Xenopus tropicalis: one gene and its partners. The protein of the gene in region 3 interacts with the protein of the main gene of each other region in a pairwise test. Links are inferred from orthologs where the notes say so. Each region holds a gene or a part of one and is shown on either strand. Other genes may lie near its edges. The genes, in order: cwf19l2, mettl17, sf3b4, ppp1r16b and hnrnpul1.

Region 1 (3,778 bases), on a different chromosome or scaffold from region 3:
AAACATCCCCAGCCAGTTTATGGCTATGACCCCAATTCCAAGGATATCCAGAATTATCTCTGGTGACCTCTTAAAGTCTGAGCTCAAGTGAAAAAATAAATCCAATTTCTATGTTCCGATCACACAGAAATCAGCGGGGGATTAAACACTAGATACATGCAGATTAAGCTACATTCTAAAGTGGATTATGCCAGATATAATTACAGCCAGGCAATGATAGGAAACTCTGTTGTGTAACATTGGGCTCTGAGAAGCAGACGTATTGGAACATATAAGCAGATAAATCATCATCATTAGTCAGAACAGTAAAATGCCTATGTATGCTTGGGTTCTCCCCCAATGGAAACACAAAGGGAATACATGTATTTCCAATTTAGCCTGTGGATTTGCATTGAAGCTCTGATTTTTGCTCAGTTTCATAACCCTTCAATTGATTTATAGCCAATACTATGGTTATTGTTTCATATTTTTAAATACTTTTGGAAATCTGCCATAAAAAGCCATATAAATCTTGATCTCCCTTGTCTTGAAAACATGAATATGTAACATTCTAACAGACTCCAGCCTCCATATTACACCATATAACAGAAGTATGAGTGTGCTCATTTCAAGAGAATCACATAGAAATGTCTCAATGTGATAATGAGGACAAAGATGGGAAATATAGAGGGATGGCAGCTCTTGGATAGTAAAATGTTTAGACTTTTTTAAACTTACAGCTCTTCGAATATCCTTTGTAGACAGGTCTATTAATTTCTTATTCATGGACCACTCCTCATCAGATTCCATTATGGCTTTCTGGTTTAATGAAAATAAACGCATGAATACATTGGTTAACATGGGAGATGGAATAAAAAATCAGCAAATAAGCCCTTTCTGAAAGGAACCAGAATTCACTAAATGGGCTAAATGTACGGCTGGATGGTAACATGGAAACCTTCGGGCGTTATGTATGTGATACCCGGCTCTATCAGCCAAATGTTCAACGAAACTGGAAAGTATAAACCATTAAAAACATCTGATATATTGACGACACTCCATTTAAAGTAAATTTGCAATTCATCGTAGGTTGGCTGACGGATACACTGCCGCTGATTTGTGACTCCAATATCTGCCCATAAATCTCTTATAATGGGTTTGTAGCTGGTGTGAAGGGAACATGTTTCTGTGAGCTTAACAGTCAAATGAATGAAACAACACAATGTATTAAACTGGTCAAGGTAAAGTGGCCATTAAACTGTTACTCCAAACTCTTATTCCATTGATTGGGTTTGTAGTCTCATTTGGTTCATTTTTTTCCTAATGAACATTTGATTTTTTAGAGAAAAATACAAGTAAGGAGACCAAACAGTGCAGTTTGTTGCCATTTCTCATTGGTCATGGCAATTTATTGATCCCAGAATGAAACACGTTGGCTCATTTTCAGAGTTTAGTTATTCCAAGATACAGTTGGACAAGGTACAGTAGTAAAGGTTGGAAAGGTCGATTCTGATAATCCAGTAGCCTGTGAATTTTACAGAAGTTTTCTGTTGTAAGTAAGTGACATTAATTAGACTTTATCTGACTCTTCCATAATCACTTACTGGCCTGTAGAGCATAGTGCCATCTTTCCTTTGCTTCCAAGAGGCACATGTGGCTTGGGCATAGGATTTCAACTCAAGTCACCACCATTTTTTGAGGATGGGGGGTCATCCAGCAACTGACCATAAACTGAAGTGCCACCTGTCTTATGTAAAATCTACCCCTGGAGTCATACTTTATATACAAACTATTCTATTCACTCATGACTCGTTTGTATCATTTAAAGGAGAAAGAAAGGGAAAAACTAAGTACGGTAAGCTTTATTGGAAAGGTCTATGTAAATACAGCCATAAGCACTCACAGAAATGCTGCACTGAGTCCTCTATCAAAAGAAACACAGGATTTCTTGTCTACTTTTTTGTAAACATGTTCTTAGGGTATCTGATTTCCTCTCTCAGAAAAATCCTTCGTTCCTGGGGCCAGAGTCTGCTCTCTTCCCTCTCCTGCTTCCCCCTCCCTTAGGAATATGTGATCTGAGCTACCAACCCCTAGAGCTGCAGCAGCTACAGTTACGGAAACTGAGCTAAAATGGCAGCTGCTCTCCTAAACAAACAGAGAAAGCTTCTAGGGCTGTTTACTCAGGTATGGTAAAGGTTTCTGCAGAATAAATATAGTAGCACTAATGTGGCAAATCTATTGGCAGTAAAATGCCAAACTGATTTTCCTTCTCCTTTAATAGCTAGTAGTTGTTCAGAAATTCAGAATAGCTACAGGTTGCTATTTGCTCTTTATCTGCAAGAGCTTGTCACTGTTGTAGAGAGTGAATACCACACAGCTTTAAAGTTTGGCAACTTCTGTCACCATCTGGCTGCAGATGAAATGAATGAGCTTGCAATTATCATGCCCACATTCCCAGAAAGCAATATTAGACGGGACAATGACAAACCCTTATATCTAGATCTTATTATGCTGTTTTACATAACTACCCCCTTAATCTGGCTACTTTGGGAAAAATTCCCTATTACCTTTCTTCACTAGTTCCCATGGCACTGTGGCTCATTTCTTTATAAACCTGAGGTTCTTTATATCCGTCTATTGCTCCTAATAATTGAATGCAAGTTGATAATTTACCTTAAAATATATTGGTGCCATATCACCCACTTCCTTTGGGAGAGGAATGCACTCATAGACCAAATGCAACCGTTTTCTTGCATATATGTTTGACTCCAAGAAGACACAGTCCAGACCTTTAGATTCAAACATCCTGACCAAGGCTTTCCGGAACACCTAGAGAGAGACGAAGCAGCCACTTGCTCTTTTAGCAATAACAAGGTTTACTTTTAGAACATAAACAACCAGATATGCCTTTATTTATATAAAAGTCAACTGCACGTTTTCATTTATCTTCCGGAAATTAGGTTAATATATTGGTTCTTGTTGCTTATTAGAAATGGGATCTACCATGTAAAACGTCAGCATATTTAATGTGATGGAACTGTGCTGTTTCTGCTTATGGAATGTTTATGCAACTGGTAAGGGGGTAAGTTACAAGCTGGTGTTTTAACTGCCATACTTTTGAACTTGAGCACTATTGTCAAATAGCAGTGCCCCTCAGATGTAAGAATCGTACAACCTCTGTATTTTCTGAATAAATATGAAATGGTGAAGAAGCAGCAGATACATCTGTATGACCTAGAAAGCGGCATACTGCTTAAATAGCACCTGTCTTACCCATCCCCAGCCTTACCTTAAGCTACAGGCATCTCTAGTCTGCTCAATTTATTGATCTACACCATTAAACTATAATGCAGCCTTCTCCTTTATCCCCCATATTTCAAAGCACTCCACTGCCACTGTATGGTTACTGCTGGCAATGAGCTGTGTTATCCATGGAATCAGGTCGCTAACATGACAAGTAATATATATATAGAATCGCTATTAAAAGCACCTGGATTTCATTATAGATGTCTTCATCCAGCAGAGTGCTCGCTGTGTGGTGCTGCAATGGAACGATCAGGCAATGTCCCTCTGTGAGTGACAGATGGTTGGGAAGACACAAGTATACCTAGAGAAAAAGATGTCAACATATGTAGTAAATGAAACCTAATTAGTAGTTGTTATCTTTCATACTGGTTTCCTTAGACTGCAGACTATTTGGACCTTTCCTTTTTAATATATTTGTATTTATACATGTATGTCATCCCATTTGCTAAATCAGTTTAAAAAACAGCAACTATTAGTGGTGGCAATCATAGAA
Region 2 (4,258 bases), on a different chromosome or scaffold from region 3:
AATCTCACCTGTCAATCATATACTGCCTGCCCTGCCTCTTTGACTTGGGCATAGTAATCACTTTCATTTTTCATGCTACACTTTCTGTCCCTGTTCTCCTTACATTCCCCCTCTTAAGGTGGCCATACACGCACCGATAATATCATACGAAACCTCATTTCGTACGATATTCGGTGCGTGTATGGTATGTCGGCAAGTCGACCGATATCGCAGGAAGCTGCTGATATCAGCCGACTCGTCGATCGGACCAGTTTGAAAATTTTGATCGGGCGCCATAGAAGGCTCCTGACCAAAATCTCCCTTCAGCGCTGAATCGGCAGAAGGAGGTAGAAATCCTATTGTTTCTACCTCCTTACCTGCCGATTCAGCCCTGAATGGTGTGTGGCGGATCTGACGATGTTTCGTGCGACCGATGGTCGCATGAAACATCGTCAGATTGCCACGTGTATGGCCAGCTTTACTCACTGTCTATAATTCTATTGCCTGGGCAAGTGGGCATGGATGTTGGGTCCCCCATTCTGGTGCATAAACACAAGATTTTGGGATAATGCAAATATTGCCTTAATAATAGTGCCCACAAAATGGCTCTAATTTTGGATTCCAAAAGATTGAAGAACACAAGATTTAAAAAAATGTATATAGAGTAAGTAAAGATTACTTTTCTTGAAAAACCACAATAAAAAGAATTTGGAATTATTCCCTAGGAGACAGATCCCCTTTAAATGGCACAAGCAACATACTTTATGTGTTGGTTATATTACAGAGACAGCCTGCTTTGTACAAACCCAATAAAGCTGTGAGTGGCTGCTGGGAGTTGTAGTGCAAAGCCAGTTGGGGGTAGAGGAGGCAAAGGCTGAATATATAGAGGCACTGACAGGTGTCATACTCAGTGACGCACACATGACTTGTTTACACGGACAGACTACTCACCCCGGGCCTTTCTCGCCCGCCCTTGGACCTTTCCGCTGCGCCCTGACATCTCCACTAAGCGGGGTGCGTTATTGCCCAAACCCACTTCGCTGCAGTATTCCTCTCGTTACGGCCTCTTCTACTCAGTAGTTTCCTCGCCGGCCCCACGCCCCTATTGGTTGCTATGTCAGTGGAGGGAAAATGACGCATATTTTTCGCGCAGGGATTGGTTCATGATTTGCAATCCCATTGGACGTCTGAGAGAGAATTGGAGCATGTTGGGTGCTAAGTACTACTGCCAGTAAAAGGCAACACAGCCGGTGATTGACACTTCTTGCCTGCTTCTGAAACATGCTCTCTTCAAAGATATGCTTCCGCCAGCTCCGGGTAAGTAACTGCGCGTTTGGGCCCAATGCAGATTAACTAGCAATGACATTGTAAGCTTTAACTTTGAGGACACGTTTGAAAGGCCCGCCTCTTATTTAAATGAACCTCACAACGTGTGGGTATTTCTGGGAGTTTTCTGGCTTTAAATTCAACGTTCATTATTTTTAAAATATAATAAAGCCTTACAGACTGCTGAAATTAATTTTTCACACTAAAGTTGTCAACAGGAATACTAATATCACAAAGAATAAAATCTCCCTAATGTAAGAATTTATTGTTCTGGCGGTATATATACGGCTGAGGCGCTGTAAGTAAGAAGAGCGGAAGGGAAGCTCATTGCTGAGGGCACATGCTGGGTGCGTCACATCCGTGTCGTCACTCCAATCATTCCCTCCGGGAAGGTCTGAGACTTGAGCCGCAAGCAGCCCTCGCAGGGCGTCACCCGAGTAACGGGTGGGTGAGTCCCCAGAAACCCCACGCTGGAGTGGAACAGTCCGTAAAGTGGTGGAGGCTATGCAGGAGAAGCGCAATCTGATCGTAGTGGAAGGAGGCGTGCCACAGATTGAGGTACCTCCCACCTCCCATGTGCGACACAGACGAGCTGATGCTGCCTCCTCCCCGGACCTTGGAAGTGGCTCACGGCTGGCACAGTTAGTCCAATGGCTGAGGTGAGGTAGCAGCACGGGATTGGTGCGCACCTCATAACCCAAGTCAGACTACTCTCCCGCCGCTCTTTTATTAGATTTCTCTGTTTTACACCTAATAAAATCATTTCGTCTCATTGCGAACGTCAAAGCTGTCATTTTCTGGGGAGTTCAAGCAATTTGTTTATAGCAACAAGGGCGCTAGTAGTGTAGCTTTTAACCCATAGTTGCAGCGTTTATCGAGCTCTGGTGGGATAGAAAGCTCATTCAAAGCTCAAGTAAAAAAATCTGTTGCAAGTCAGGTCAAAGGGAAGTTAAGGATGGTTCAACTTTGCATTAACTTTTAGTTTGTTCTAGAATGTCATATTCCTACCAACTTTGCAGTTGTCCTTCATTATTTATTTCTTACAGTTTTTAAGTTATTTGCCTTCCACATATTGCCAACTTTTAAAAGGGGGTCACTGACCCCAGTAGCCCAAAAACTTTTGCTCTGTAAACTTACAATTTTATTTATATTGTTATTTTTGTATTACTTATCTTTCTAGTCAGTCCCTTTCCTATTCATATTCCATCCTTGGTTGCTAAGGTAACCAGATTGCTTCTTAAAATCCATGCTGGAGAGCTGCTGAACAAAAAGCTGAAAAAACAAAAACCAATTGCTATGGGCAACAATGCCGGTGATGTTTGTCTCTAATGTTAATAAAAATGCACCTACACGATCATTTAATTGTTAACAACCCCTTTAAAGCTACTCCATGTTTGGTGTTTTTGAGTAAGATACCAGTAAGCAGCACCTCCACTTTACCTTTTGTTGTGACTGTTTTGATAACATGGCAATTATCTGTGTAAGGAGTTGCCACCCACCTGGCAGATATTTTACTTACTGGTAAATCACCTGCCCCTCCAACTAGCTTTTATCAACCTTAACATCAAGTTAATGTAAGATTGCTCAGAGCACTTTCCTAAGCACTATTGTAATTTATATTAATGCGCAATTATGAGCAGTTTTACATGAATTTGTTTCTAAAATGTCATTATCCTTTAAATAGTTCAGTATCAGTGTTCCCTCTAATTCCTCAATGGCTATGTGTGGGGAAAAAAATCTATTTTGTGTGCACATTTTAAATTTGTGTGTGCATTGTTAAAACTGTGTGCTCTGGACAGAATAAATGCAAAATGTTGTGTTTTGACACAATGGGGTTGATTCACTAAAGTGCGTTAAGTCGCATATCACATGCGTTAATTTTCGCACGACCGCATGCGGTAGATTTAACACATGCGTTAATTAGCGCACAGAAAAGAATACTAACAGTAAGGCGCGCTAAATATCGCATTAGGCTATGCGAAAATTAACACCTACTTCAGGCAGGCGATAATTATAGAAAAGTACAGTTCATGAGCTTTTGGCAATAAAATATGGACTTACAGTGTTATTTATTCAAGTCTGTGTTTCCCCTAGAGTGCCAGTTTGCAGCGAAATGGTCATTTTTAATACAGTAATTTTCCTCAAGTATTGGCGAGTATGGCTAACATGGCGTGCGTTTATTCGCGCGACTATTTATATGCGGCTACAAGCGATGAAATGTTTCGCCAGGCATGGATTTGCAGCAAATTTTTGGACGTGCGGCAAATTTTTCCGCGGCAAATTTTTTCATGCGTTTCGCAAAACAATCTGCCAATGGCAAAACGCATGAAAAAATTCGCCACGCAAAAATTCACCGCACGTCCAAAAATTGACACAGGCGTCAAAAAATAATAGTCGCGGGCAACAATTTTTTTGGCCGCACAACATTTTTGCCGTTTCGTGGATCTTTTGAAAGATTTGCAAATTTTTCACCAAAGATATTTATAAGCATCTACTCTTTATATGATACCATTTATATGATACTATTTATATGTGGCTACTATTTATATACACTATTTATATGCGGCGACAATTTATATGCACTATTTAAATGCTACTATTTAAATGCTACTATTTATATGCGGCGACTATACGCGGGCGTTATTTAGCGCATGTAATGTCAACTACCGCACAAAAATAGTCTTCGCAAGTTAAATAACGCATGCAACATCGCACGTAAATTAGCGCAAGTATGCTTATAGTGTATCGTGCGAAAAGTTGCGAAAATTTAGACGCGATAAAATTTATAACGCACACTATAAATAGCGCACGTTTTATCGCACTTTAGTGAATCAGCCCTAATATCCTTTGTGCTTGCCACTAATTTTTTTTGTGCACTCACTTTATAATTCATGCACAGCTAAGAGGGATCATTGATCCATATCCTCCAAAATCACCACCACGCTTACTGGAT
Region 3 (4,437 bases):
CAAATCAGTACTGTCCCACAAAAATCAGTAGTTATAACCCATATACTGGGCAAAATCAAACTGATCAGATGGTTATGATCCAACAACTGTATCACAACCTAGGACTATGGGACAATGTTGTCAAAGCTGCCAGCTTATACTGGGGAGGCCAACCAAACTGTCATCTTACATTGTCCTGTGTACAATCAGGATAAAAGAGAATAAAAGCCTGGTTAGTACCTTTGTCCCTTCCTAAACCCCACCAACAGGGACCCCCAAACCTGCTTAGTTGTTGTATCTGGTTAGAAGAAGAAAAGTGCAGGTTTGGCAGCTGCCATCTTGGGCTGCTCTGGCTCCCCTCACTACTGCTCCACCAGTCTGCTTTTTATATCCAGGGGCAACAAACAAGGAGTTTTTGGTACCAAGGCATTCACCAGGCTTTCAGTTACCTTTAACATTAAAGGTTTAAAAATATACATCAGACACAATAGTCAAATCTACTATTTGGCCAATAAGACTTTCTTGTCTCACTAAATTCTCAACCAACAGACATCTCTATGTAAAAGGGGAGGAGCATTGGTCTTTACATGTGACCCTTGTATGTTCCTTTAGGGTGAAGACACACAGAGCTACTAGTAGCAGCTACTTTTTCACAGCTACTAAACGCCAAAAAATCCCCTGCCATAGACAATACTGAGAATTCCCTCTGCTAAGGGCTCTGGCACACGGGGAGATTAGTCGCCCGCGACAAAACTCCCTGTTCGCGGGCGACTAATCTCCCTGAGTTGCCTTCCCCTGCCATCCCATCGGCGACAATGTAAGTCGCCGGTGGGATGGCACACGCGGCGGCGCGATTTCCCGAAATCGCCGAAAAAGATTTGGGAAATCGCGCCGCCGCGTGTGCCATCCCGCCGGCGACTTACATGTTTGCCAGTGGGATGGCGGGTCATGACAACTCGGGGAGATTAGTCGCCCGCGAACAGGGAGTTTTGTCGCGGGCGACTAATCTCCCCGTGTGCCAGAGCCCTAAAACACATTGAGACTGTTATCAGTAAATGATCAGCATTGTCTATTTAAGTAGCGACTACAAGTAGTTGCTACTAGTAGCTCCGTGTGTCTGCACCCTTAGCTCACACCAGGGACCCTTTAATAATCCTTGGTGCCCATAGAAACAATGAAACACCCTCTATGCGCTGACAATACTGGCACATTTACTGTAAAATCTTAAAAAAATATAAAAATAAATAAATAACCCCCTCAGAGTTTACTACACGTTTACTTTTAGCTTTGGGGTTTCATTACAATACAAATATCTCCGCCGGAAAGCATTGACTGCATAAGGCATGTTAATAAAGTTATTCCATCTAAAAAAAAAAAAAAAAAGTGGTTGCGGAAGTAAGCGTTCTGAGGCCGGAAGTAGGGAAGCGGAAACTGAAGCAGCGAGGTGGCTGAGTGGTTGGCGGCGAGAAAATGGCGGCTGGGCCGATATCTGAACGGAACCAGGGTAAGGAACGTACAGACTGCGTATGGGCTGCATGGGGTGATTGGGGCGGAGGGAACTGTTATGCCGGGGGGGCTGGAAGTAGGGGTATCCGGGGTTTACAGGGAACAGTAAGAGCTCAGAGCAGGGGGAGGCGGGCTGCACTGTGTGCATGAGGTGCAGGCTCCATCTCTGTGCAAAAGTCATTTGGACACAAAGCTGTTCTTATAATATCGGCAGCCCGGCCTGTAACTGTACCTGAATCTACACAGAAACATTGATCTGCTTCTTCCCCACCAATACAGTTTATAGTGCTATCCCCATAAACACTGTGTATAATGCACAGAACTAATGCTAAGCAGCCTCCCTATATACATTCATTACACATTTCCAACGTTTATAAAGTTTCTTGCAAAATATAATTGTTAGCGAAAGCCGTCTGTCTTATTATAGTCTACACTGCTGGTTCTGACTTCTGAAACAATGTAACAAAGGCCAGGGCTATTAAACTATGAAATGGTTTCAAGAATAAGAAAGGGGCAGATAGATACTACTTCCAATAGCAATAGCATTTACCTTTGAACCACTGATTTTTTTTATTACCGTATATACTCGAGTATAAGCCGATCCGAATATAAGCCGAGGTACCTAATTTTACCTAAGAAAACTGGAAAAACTTATTGACTTGAGTATAAGCCGACCAGTTACATGGGAGTAGGAGAAACAATAGGTTACCTCAAAGCTGTTCTATCTCATGGTGGCGATTTGGGACATCAGTGCCCGACAAGACAAGGATGAGACACCCACAGAATGGCCACCCAGCACCCTGCTATATTTCAATGAGACCCAAAGCAACTCCCGGTGTGCAAGTGAAGCAGCGGTACCTTGCGGTGTGCCCTGTCAGCAGCGCCAGAGGATCCGTAAGCCCAGCATTTACGCTGCTCTTTAAATAAGCGGCGGCGCTCCTCTTAATTCCAACCTGTGTGTCTGCAAGGAGCCGTCATGTAATCGCCTCGCCAGCTGCCGTGTGACAAGGGTTAAAGAAACAGAGCGCTCTCGGCACAATTATTGCAATAAGCAGCACACCCGACAGCAACAAGACACCACGGTCCGGGAGTTTGGCGCTGTTTGGCCGGTCCTTAGAGTTGCGGGACAACCTCAATAAAGTCCGCGAACGGGTCCTTCGCTATCTGGCGGTAGTCCGAGCGCTATCTTCCGCTACGTCACAGGTGTGCAGGCAGGTTCGCATGCAACGAGCAGCTGCGAAACCATTTACCGTATATATACGCGAGTATATGCGCGAGTATAAGCCGAGGGTTCCTTTTTCAGCACATTTTTAGTGCTGAAAAACTCGGCTTATACTCGAGTATATACGGTATATATATATGTTGGAAAGTTGATGAAAACTTTCTCTCGTTATCTTTCGGGTTTATAGGTGGATATCTCCAGGGTTGTAAAGGGAAAGCTAAACCCTGTAGCAAGGAGAGTTTGTATTACAAGGATTAAAGGAACAGTAACACCAAAAAATGAAAGTGTATAAGGGCTCTGGAACACGAGGAGATTTGTCGCCGGCGATTTTTAAAAGAGCGATTTGGCGACAAGACACCAATGCTAAATCAATGGAAATTGCCAGCGTCAAAACATACGAGGCTACTTCAGATCGCCTGCTGTTTCAAGTCGCACACAGACCCTTTTCTGAGCGACTTGAGGGGGGTTAACTGTTGAGTGTACCATGGGTAGCAGATCGCCTGGAGCTCAACTCGCATGAAATCTCTTTGAGGGTATTCTCGTGGCGACTTGTCGCCAAAGCGCCAGGGGGAAAAAACGCAGACGACAAATCTCCTCGTGTGCCAGAGCCCTAAAAGTAACTAAAATATAATGTGCTGCTGCCCTGCACTGGTAAAAGCTGTGTGTTTGCTTCAGAAAGTCTACTATAATTTATATAAATAAGCTGCTATGTAGCCATGGGGGCAGCCATTCAAAGGAGAAAAGGCACAGGCACATAGCAGATAACAGATAAAACACTATTGTATTCTACAGAACTTATCTGTTATCTGCTATGTAACCTGTGCCTTTTCTCCTCTTTTCCAGCTTGAATGGCTGCCCCTGTGGCTACACAGCAGCTTATCATATAAATTATAGTAGTGTTACTGTAGCAAACACACCAGTTTTACCAGTTCAGGGCAACAGTGCCTCGGATCTATGATCTGTGCATTTATTCAGAGTGTAACGGGGATATTTAAAGAGAAGGTGGAATAGCTGATTTGCCGTGTACTATAACTTTTTTTTTTTTTCTTTTTGGATTTAGATGCCACAGTGTATGTCGGAGGCCTGGATGAAAAGGTGTCTGAGCCTCTTCTATGGGAGCTCTTCTTGCAAGCAGGGCCTGTAGTGAATACACACATGCCCAAAGACAGGGTCACGGGGCAGCATCAAGGTAAGATTGGCACCTCTTAACCATTATTTCTTATAGCTGTGTATAGGCAGGAATGGAGGGGAATGCTGTGGAGAAGTTGTTGCAATTTGTAACAAGAATGTTTTAGTCCCTCCTCCCCTGCCAGGATTTCAAATGATGCAGAAAGAGAAGAACTGTTTTGCAGCTGGATTTCAGCATATAAAAATGGTATTTATTCATGCTTTTTGAAGGAACAGATTACAGGGTATTTTGGGGGTTTCTGTGTGCGGGAAGCAATAGTTTCCACATCGTTTGATCATGGTTAAAGCAACATATCTACTTGGTCACTGTCTCTTCCCATTTGCCTGAATGGGGAAACACCACAGGTGTCCTGGTGAAAATGTGTGCTGGATCCAAAAGCATCAGGGTGAAGACACACAGAGCTACTAAGTAGCAGCTACTTTTTCAAGGCTACTAAACCCCAGAAAATCCCATGCCATAGACAACTGAGAATTGCCCCTGCTAAAACACACGTAGAGACAATTATCAGTAAATGACCAGCACTGTCTTTTTTTTTTTTTTA
Region 4 (3,778 bases), on a different chromosome or scaffold from region 3:
AAGATCAGCATAATTTGGCACTGCACATGAGTGGCCAAATTGGGCAAAGATCCATTCACGATTTATTAACTTTTAGTATCATGTAGTTAGTAGCTTTCTGTTCTGTCCCTTTTCTATTTACCGTCACATTACCCCATATGTGTTTAGCTAAACCCATTTGGTCAACAGAAGAGTCTGCTCTTTACAGCAGTAATAGGCAGCAGTTAGTCTGCTCTTTACAGCAGTAATAGGAGGCAGTAAGTCTGCTCTTTACAGCAGTAATAGGAGGCAGTAAGTCTGCTCTTTACAGCAGTAATAGGCGGCAGTTAGTCTGCTCTTTACAGCAGTAATAGGAGGCAGTTAGTCTGCTCTTTACAGCAGTAATAGGCAGCAGTTAGTCTGCTCTTTACAGCAGTAATAGGCGGCAGTTAGTCTGCTCTTTACAGCAGTAATAGGAGGCAGTTAGTCTGCTCTTTACAGCAGTAATAGGCAGCAGTAAGTCTGCTCTTTACAGCAGTAATAGGCAGCAGTTAGTCTGCTCTTTACAGCAGTAGTAGGCGGCAGTTAGTCTGCTCTTTACAGCAGTAATGAGCGGCAGTTAGTCTGCTCTTTATAGCAGTAATAGGTGGCAGTTAGCCATGTGATCTCTGGGTTAGTGCCAGGTGCACTTTAGCATGGACTACCTTCCTTGAGCCCCCATAAATCTGTGCCGGGGCAGTGCTGCCTACAAGCAGCTTCTATAGCAATACTGATTACAATCAATAGCCAGAACCATGCTACCCAGCTCCAAACCCTATAGTCCTATAGTCTCTTTCAAACACTGATTCACATTGTTTCTGGCTCCTACCAGAACCCTGTCTGTCTTCTGGTTATTCAGATGACTGTTCTTAACTATCAATGCAGTTACTGGTCAGGTTACCTGCTGTACTTCTGGGCTGCTCTCTTCCTCATCCTGGGTGCCCTCTGTGTTCCCTGAAGACACCAAACATTGCCACACCACTGCCTCCTTCTCATATTCCCTTCTGTACAGGTTGGTCCGCTCTGACAGGCTGGCGCGCCGCACCACCTTACTGGGAGGAGACACAGAAAGGATGAGAGACGGTGCTGATAGGAAGAAAGGCAAACACTGAAGGGACAAGGGCATCAGATTAGAACAAGTTACCTACAATCATATGGTTTTGCCCATTTCCTCTCACTTTCATATAACATTTAATCTCATTTTTCTTATGCTCCTATGCTTCTTTTAGTTCCTACACTTGCTAATTTCACAGGACACTATCCATGTAACTGAGTATACTGACCCATGGCTCCCGGTGCTGGAACTTCTGCGGCTCAGAGAAGACTTGTTCTTCTGCTGAGACTTCATGATGATATCGTGTTTGTGCTTCAGTTCCAGAAGCAAGGAGCGAAGTTCTTCATCTTCACACAGATCTGCCATAGAGACACAAAGGCAAAGCTAAGCCCAAATGGAGAGGTGGGAAGAGGGTGAGAATAAAAAAAACAGAAAAACACTTGGATGCAAAAGGCTCTAATGCACCAGATGATAATAAAGAGGTGTCCTCTACCCTCCAAGAGATAAACAGGGCAGAGAGAGTGTCCTGACTCACCGAGAGGAGTCTCATCCAGGGCTGTTTTAGCGCTGAGACTGGCACCATGTGAGACTAAAACCTCTGCTACGTAGATCTGCAGAAGGAATTAAGGAGATTGGTAACTAGGTATGCATTTCCCACACAATGGTACTGGCAGTGGACTAGGTGGAGGAATGGGTGTTAGGACTCGGGATGCACCAAATCAGTTCAGGATTTGGCCAAGCTTCGGCCTCTTTCCGCAGGATTCGGATTCTGCCAAATCCACATGCTTGGCCGAACCAAATCCTAAAATTCATGTGACTTTATGTCATATAAACACGGAATTCGAATATTTTTAACCCTTCCTTAGCTTAATTTTCACATGCATATTAGGATCCAGATTCGTTTCGGTATTTGGCCAAATCTTTTATAAACGATTCAGGGTTCGGCTGAATCCCAAAACAGTGGATTCAGTGCATCCCTAGTTAGGACTACAGGTGTACAATCTATTCCCCATAATGTTTGGGAAATTAGTTTTCCAAATAAGGGATCTTTCCATAATTTGGAACTCCATACCGTAAATCTGCTAAAAATAATTTACCCATTAAATAAACCCAATAGGGTTGTTTGGAACCCAATATAAATTCATGCAACTTCATCAAGGACAAGCTACAGTTTTATTAAAGAGAAAAAGGACATCATTTTTAAAAATGAGTATTATTTGCTTAAAAATAACAACATGGCGACAAACAAGGATTGAACAGATCTTACCTGACCCCAAAAGGCTGCAGCATGTAGCGGTTCCCACACATCAGGATCCTTCACTTCAACATGGGCCCCATTCTCCAGAAGCATCTCAGCCACCTCTGCGAAGCCCCGAGACGCTGCTATGTGGAGCTGGGGTGGGAACAAAAGGTTTGTCATCTTTTTTATTTATGTCAGGGCAGAAAGGAACAGCCAAAAGCAGATAAATCGATCAGTATTTAGGATAAATAGGGCAACAGATTAAGGCAGATGCACATGCTATGCACAAGAACAACCACAAGGTGGCAATAATCACCTGTATTCAAAATGCCCCTAACTAGTCCTATTTCACAAGAACAGTTACTCTACATCGCTGATGCCGTGCTACATTCTCCACATGTACTGGCAGCCAACAGGCTTCTACAATGGGTCCCAGTGCTTGGCGTAATCAGCTTGCCCTATTACCATGGGGAATTATATTGGGTTTTGGCTTATATTTGCTGTGTCATGGCTGGCAAAACTAGAGGAAAGAATGGCACCCAGAGCCTGGTGGGAGTTTGCGGTATATTTGGAAGTGGGAAGCACAAATGCTTAAAGGAGACATATTGGATAAATGAAAAAAAAACGAATTTTGCAGGCAATGGTGCTGGTTTCACTTTGGGATACAATTGAATACTTTCTGCAAAAATGGCCACTTTATTGGAGCTCCCTATAGATCCTCTCAGGTCCCTGTCTGTGTTTCAGATAAAGGGTGGGCGTGTCCTAACGGTCCCTGCCAGAAGCACAGCATAAGGGGGATAAGCCAATCACAGCCCTGCAGTCATACAAACAAAGACAGGCTTCAGTTCCCCATCAGGTCAGCCTAGCTGCTGATTGGTTCCTATCCTACAGTGCAGGGTACGGAGGGCCGCCGGCTCCCCAGCTCATCCAGAGAATTCAGCCAGCAGGAAGTGGAACAGATGGGCGGGACTAGTGGGGTTTTGGTGGAATTTCTCCATAAATCAGTCCAAAACACAACTTTTTTAAGCACAATCCTTCTATATAAAGAGGAGTATAATTCCCTGGTACATTCTTAATTTTTATATGATATGTCTCCTTTAAAAACACATATATAAGGGGGAGAAATTAGGTAACAATCGTATCCCCAGGGTCGGACTGGGCCGCCGGGACACCGGGAAATATCCCAGCGGCTCAGACCCAACCCTTGTGGGCGCTCCCCTGCCCGACCGTTCCTCCCCTGATGCTTTAAACTTATGCACTTGGGGGAGGACGTCAGGTGGGGGTCCTGGGAGGGGGGTTAGAGGGGCCCCTGCAGGGGGGGGGGGCCGGCAGGGGGCCCTTCACCCCCCCCTCCGACCCTGGGTATCCCCAAAGCATTGTACCCACTGTCATAGTCGTAGACCACGATGGTGTAAGCCACTAACTTTCAATACCCAGTTACACATCTCACCAGTGTGGCTCCTTGGTTATCAGTCCTGTTCAGGTCG
Region 5 (3,555 bases), about 50 Mb from region 3:
TAGCTATTGAATATTTTGCCATTCTCTAGCTTTATCTTTCTTTTCAGACCCTGATAAATCATTGGGGACAAGGAGTGCTTTGGTGCATTTGTTGTTCTTGAGGCCCAAACAATCGAATCAATACAATATCACCTGCCACGGTTATTGGGGGAAAAACTGAAGACCAACCGCAAATTGTGATGCAGAATATCAATGTCTGCATCACACTAAAACTTATTTAAAAACAAATAAAAACTGGAATTTAAACTGAAATGAACTTAAATACCCGTTAAAACATTTAACTTGCTTCTATGTACTTCACTATCTTTCTAGCAATTTCTGATAAATGAAAAGGAAATTATAACCAAAGAGTAAATTACATTTACTCTTTTTTTCTATCATAACACGCACACAATCTTATCTATCCAAAAGCACACACACATATACACTCAGTAGGACTAAAATAATCACATCAATTTATTCACATTTATGTTCACGTTATACCAAATGTAATTAAAACATCCCTGTTTGCTCCAGTTCACAACAGTAATGTTCAGGTCAAAACAAATTTTATTCATTACTATTGTTCCCAGGAGCACGATTTCAGACATTCAAAACTCCAAGATGTAGTTTAATTTTCAGTGAAAGTTCCGGCACTTTGTAACACATAGGGGGAGATTTATCAATCCACGAACAGTTCGATCGTTTGTTCGATCGGGCCGTTTGTGTTTTCTGCGACTTTTTCGTTGCTTGCGTATTTTCGGCGGTTTTTCATTTTAACGCGACTTTTTCGTACTGTGCGTAAAAAAAAAAAAAAAAAAAAAAAAATGCGACAAAATTGTATTGTTGCAACGAGTACGAAAGTTTCAGATTCATTCAAGCTTCAGTATTGTGACTTTCCTTGGGCCAGGTTGGAGCAGCAGAGTGCCATTGAGTCCTATGGGAGACTTTCCTTGGGCCAGGTTGGAGCTGCAGAGTGCCATTGAGCCCTATGGGAGACTTTCCTTGGGCCAGGTTGGAGCAGCAGAGTGCCATTGAGTCCTATGGGAGGCTTCCAAAATCATGCACAGAAGGATCAAAGTCGGAAAGGTTTTCCTGCATTTTACGATCGTTCGTATACGAAAATGTTGTGACTTTCGGATCGCCAATACGATATTATCATGACTAATACAATTTTTTCATAAGCATATTCGCGATTTTTGCGATCTTCAGAAATTATCGTGTCCAATACGAATTTTTCCCATTCGGGATTCAAATTCGTGTCTTAATAAATCTGCCCCATAATGTAACTACTAGGCAATATAACTTTTACTTAACTTTATTTTTATAAAGGATGAGTTTCACTTTAACAGCAGTAGTCATTCACACCCATTTGCACATCCATCATAACATATTTAAACTGACAGTAAAAAACATTTATAGTTTTTTTGCAACCATATTAAAATGTTAAGGATGTTGAAAAACACATTATGAGGAGGCTGATATAATGAAAATGGGAATTACCTTTCATTTCCAATACAGCAGAGTCTGGAACATCCTTTCCCTCCTCATCTGTACGTTTTACTATACGGTCCTGCAAGTCTGCATCTGTGGGACAGATTATGATGGCTTTGCGCTGAAAGCCTTCAAATGGACGCATCTTCCTTTTTTGAGCTGTCCCATAAACATTTGTCTGTGTGTAGAAAAAAACACCAAAGGTCCTACTTGTATAGGTCATGTACTGAACACTGCAGCTACAACTGAATCTAGGATTATGTTATTAATCTATTTTACCTGATCCAGAATGTAATTTCGTTTCCTCCGGGCTGCAATCTGGATAAGACGGTTCAGACACTGTGTTGCTTGTTGTATAAGGACATCCCAGCGCCCTGCATAATTACGTTGCCTTCGCAGACCCATTACCTGATTGGAGGTCAAGATATGAAAATTATATGGAGAATTCTTTTATTTTACTCCTTGTCTATCCATATATATGTTATTATAGAGGCAGAAGGCACCCAATAACAATTAATTTGTTTTATTAGCCAAGATGTTTTTTTGACTGTGACCATAAACATGTAGCAAATGCATAGTTGTAAATAACATATCAAGGCTTAAAGGAAAAGTAACACCAATAAATGAAAGTGTTTTAAAGTAACTGAAATATAATGTACTGTTGCCCTGGACATGAACAACTGGTTTGGTTGCTTCAGAAACTTTACTATAGTTTATATAAACAAGCTGCTGTGTAGCCACAGGGGCAGCCATTCAAAGGTAAAACAGAAGAAAAGGTACAGGTTACACAGCAGATAACAGAAAAATGGGATTAAGCACAGTTTATCTGTTACCAACTGATAAACAGAAGCAGCCATGGACTAATGTAAAATGCTGGTATTGACTGATGTGAAACTGACTGGACAGGAAGGGAGACATAACTTAAAAGACCTTTAAAGATTTGGACTTCTTAGGAAAAACCCTTAGGGCTCTGGCACACGGGGAGATTAGTCGCCCGCGACAAATCTCCCTTGTCACGGGCGACTAATCTCCCTGAACTACCATCCCACCGGCGAACATGTAAGTCGCCGATGGGATGGTACACGCTGCGCAGGTGATTTCGGCAAATCACCGAAGTTGCCACGCGAGGCATTTTCGGCGATTTGCCGAAATGTGCCATCCCACCGGCGACTTACATGTTCGTCGGTGGGATGGCAACTGACGGCTCTCTGATGGCAACTCGGGGAGATTAGTCGCCCGCGAACAGGGAGATTTGTCGCGGGCGACTAATCTCCCCGTGTGCCAGAGCCCTTAGTTAACTGGTTAATATCATAAGAAAGATGTTTTCATGATAAAACTGTAACTATCCATAAAACCTTGGTTACATCTTTTCAGATATATAGGATGAGACACATATACATAAGTCTTGTTCTCTCACAAATGATTATCACTTTATTACAAATATTAAAGGGGATATATAGCATAAATTTTTACAATGCACTAAACCATGTAAAAAACTGTAAAACAGAAGGAAGTGGGTGGGGCTTAGCGAGCTCACAGACAGTCTGTTCCTGCTCTGCTTGTTTCTCTCCCCTCCCCTGGCAGCAGCACAAGCAGAGAGACACAGAAGGAGGGAGGGGTTTTCCCTGCTGCTGCTGAGTCAGTCAGTGCTGTGACCAGTTCCTGTGGGAGACTGTAGCGACACTCCTATGTCTCATTTGGCTCTGACTTCTGATCAGTGAGCTTGTGTATGCAGCTCTCATATAATGGCAGTTTTAGGAGGTAAAATGCTTTCAAAACATCTTTCTTTCCGCATCATTTCACATTTTGAGGGAGGATGAATATTATAACTGAATATGAACTTTATATAAAATGTCTCCTTTAACCCCTTTTTTATATTTATAAATATAAAGTTAACCACACATTTATAACTAAGACTGCAGAGCTTCTCTCTGCTCTATAATTCATAATGGAAATAATTTTTTCGGGATCTTTAAATTTTAATGATTTTTACAATATTACAAAAGCAGTCCCACAATTGCGGACATTCTGCAAGTTAATTTTTCTATTATTGCAAAAAAACTGTAGCACTGCCCTATTAGC

Evidence for each region.
Region 1: the proteins of sf3b4 (region 3) and cwf19l2 interact in binary tests that used the Homo sapiens proteins (3 or more experiments, as listed by UniProt). The two-hybrid records come from large-scale screens. The link is inferred for Xenopus tropicalis from reciprocal best matches to the Homo sapiens genes SF3B4 and CWF19L2.
Region 2: the proteins of sf3b4 (region 3) and mettl17 interact in binary tests that used the Homo sapiens proteins (3 or more experiments, as listed by UniProt). The link is inferred for Xenopus tropicalis from reciprocal best matches to the Homo sapiens genes SF3B4 and METTL17.
Region 4: the proteins of sf3b4 (region 3) and ppp1r16b interact in binary tests that used the Homo sapiens proteins (3 or more experiments, as listed by UniProt). The two-hybrid records come from large-scale screens. The link is inferred for Xenopus tropicalis from reciprocal best matches to the Homo sapiens genes SF3B4 and PPP1R16B.
Region 5: the proteins of sf3b4 (region 3) and hnrnpul1 interact in binary tests that used the Homo sapiens proteins (3 or more experiments, as listed by UniProt). The link is inferred for Xenopus tropicalis from reciprocal best matches to the Homo sapiens genes SF3B4 and HNRNPUL1.

The regions. Positions count from the first base shown.
Region 1 is NC_030678.2:160,239,959-160,243,736, reverse strand, and holds part of cwf19l2 (CWF19-like protein 2), read right to left. Parts: intron 3,587-3,778; coding exon 3,470-3,586; intron 2,809-3,469; coding exon 2,653-2,808; intron 799-2,652; coding exon 718-798; intron 1-717.
Region 2 is NC_030677.2:143,417,443-143,421,700, reverse strand, and holds the start of mettl17 (methyltransferase-like protein 17, mitochondrial), read left to right. Parts: upstream 1-1,180; 5' UTR 1,181-1,260; coding exon 1,261-1,296; intron 1,297-4,258. Other genes in the region: parp2 (poly [ADP-ribose] polymerase 2), read right to left, coding at 931-979. UniProt on the Homo sapiens protein: Mitochondrial ribosome (mitoribosome) assembly factor. Binds at the interface of the head and body domains of the mitochondrial small ribosomal subunit (mt-SSU), occluding the mRNA channel and preventing compaction of the head domain towards the body.
Region 3 is NC_030684.2:128,887,404-128,891,840, reverse strand, and holds the start of sf3b4 (splicing factor 3B subunit 4), read left to right. Parts: upstream 1-1,413; 5' UTR 1,414-1,449; coding exon 1,450-1,483; intron 1,484-3,767; coding exon 3,768-3,896; intron 3,897-4,437. UniProt on the Homo sapiens protein: Component of the 17S U2 SnRNP complex of the spliceosome, a large ribonucleoprotein complex that removes introns from transcribed pre-mRNAs.
Region 4 is NC_030686.2:40,347,378-40,351,155, reverse strand, and holds part of ppp1r16b (protein phosphatase 1 regulatory inhibitor subunit 16B), read right to left. Parts: coding exon 3,742-3,778; intron 2,445-3,741; coding exon 2,319-2,444; intron 1,663-2,318; coding exon 1,587-1,662; intron 1,411-1,586; coding exon 1,281-1,410; intron 1,050-1,280; coding exon 899-1,049; intron 1-898. UniProt on the Homo sapiens protein: Regulator of protein phosphatase 1 (PP1) that acts as a positive regulator of pulmonary endothelial cell (EC) barrier function. Involved in the regulation of the PI3K/AKT signaling pathway, angiogenesis and endothelial cell proliferation.
Region 5 is NC_030684.2:79,233,536-79,237,090, reverse strand, and holds part of hnrnpul1 (heterogeneous nuclear ribonucleoprotein U-like protein 1), read right to left. Parts: intron 1,882-3,555; coding exon 1,753-1,881; intron 1,652-1,752; coding exon 1,483-1,651; intron 1-1,482.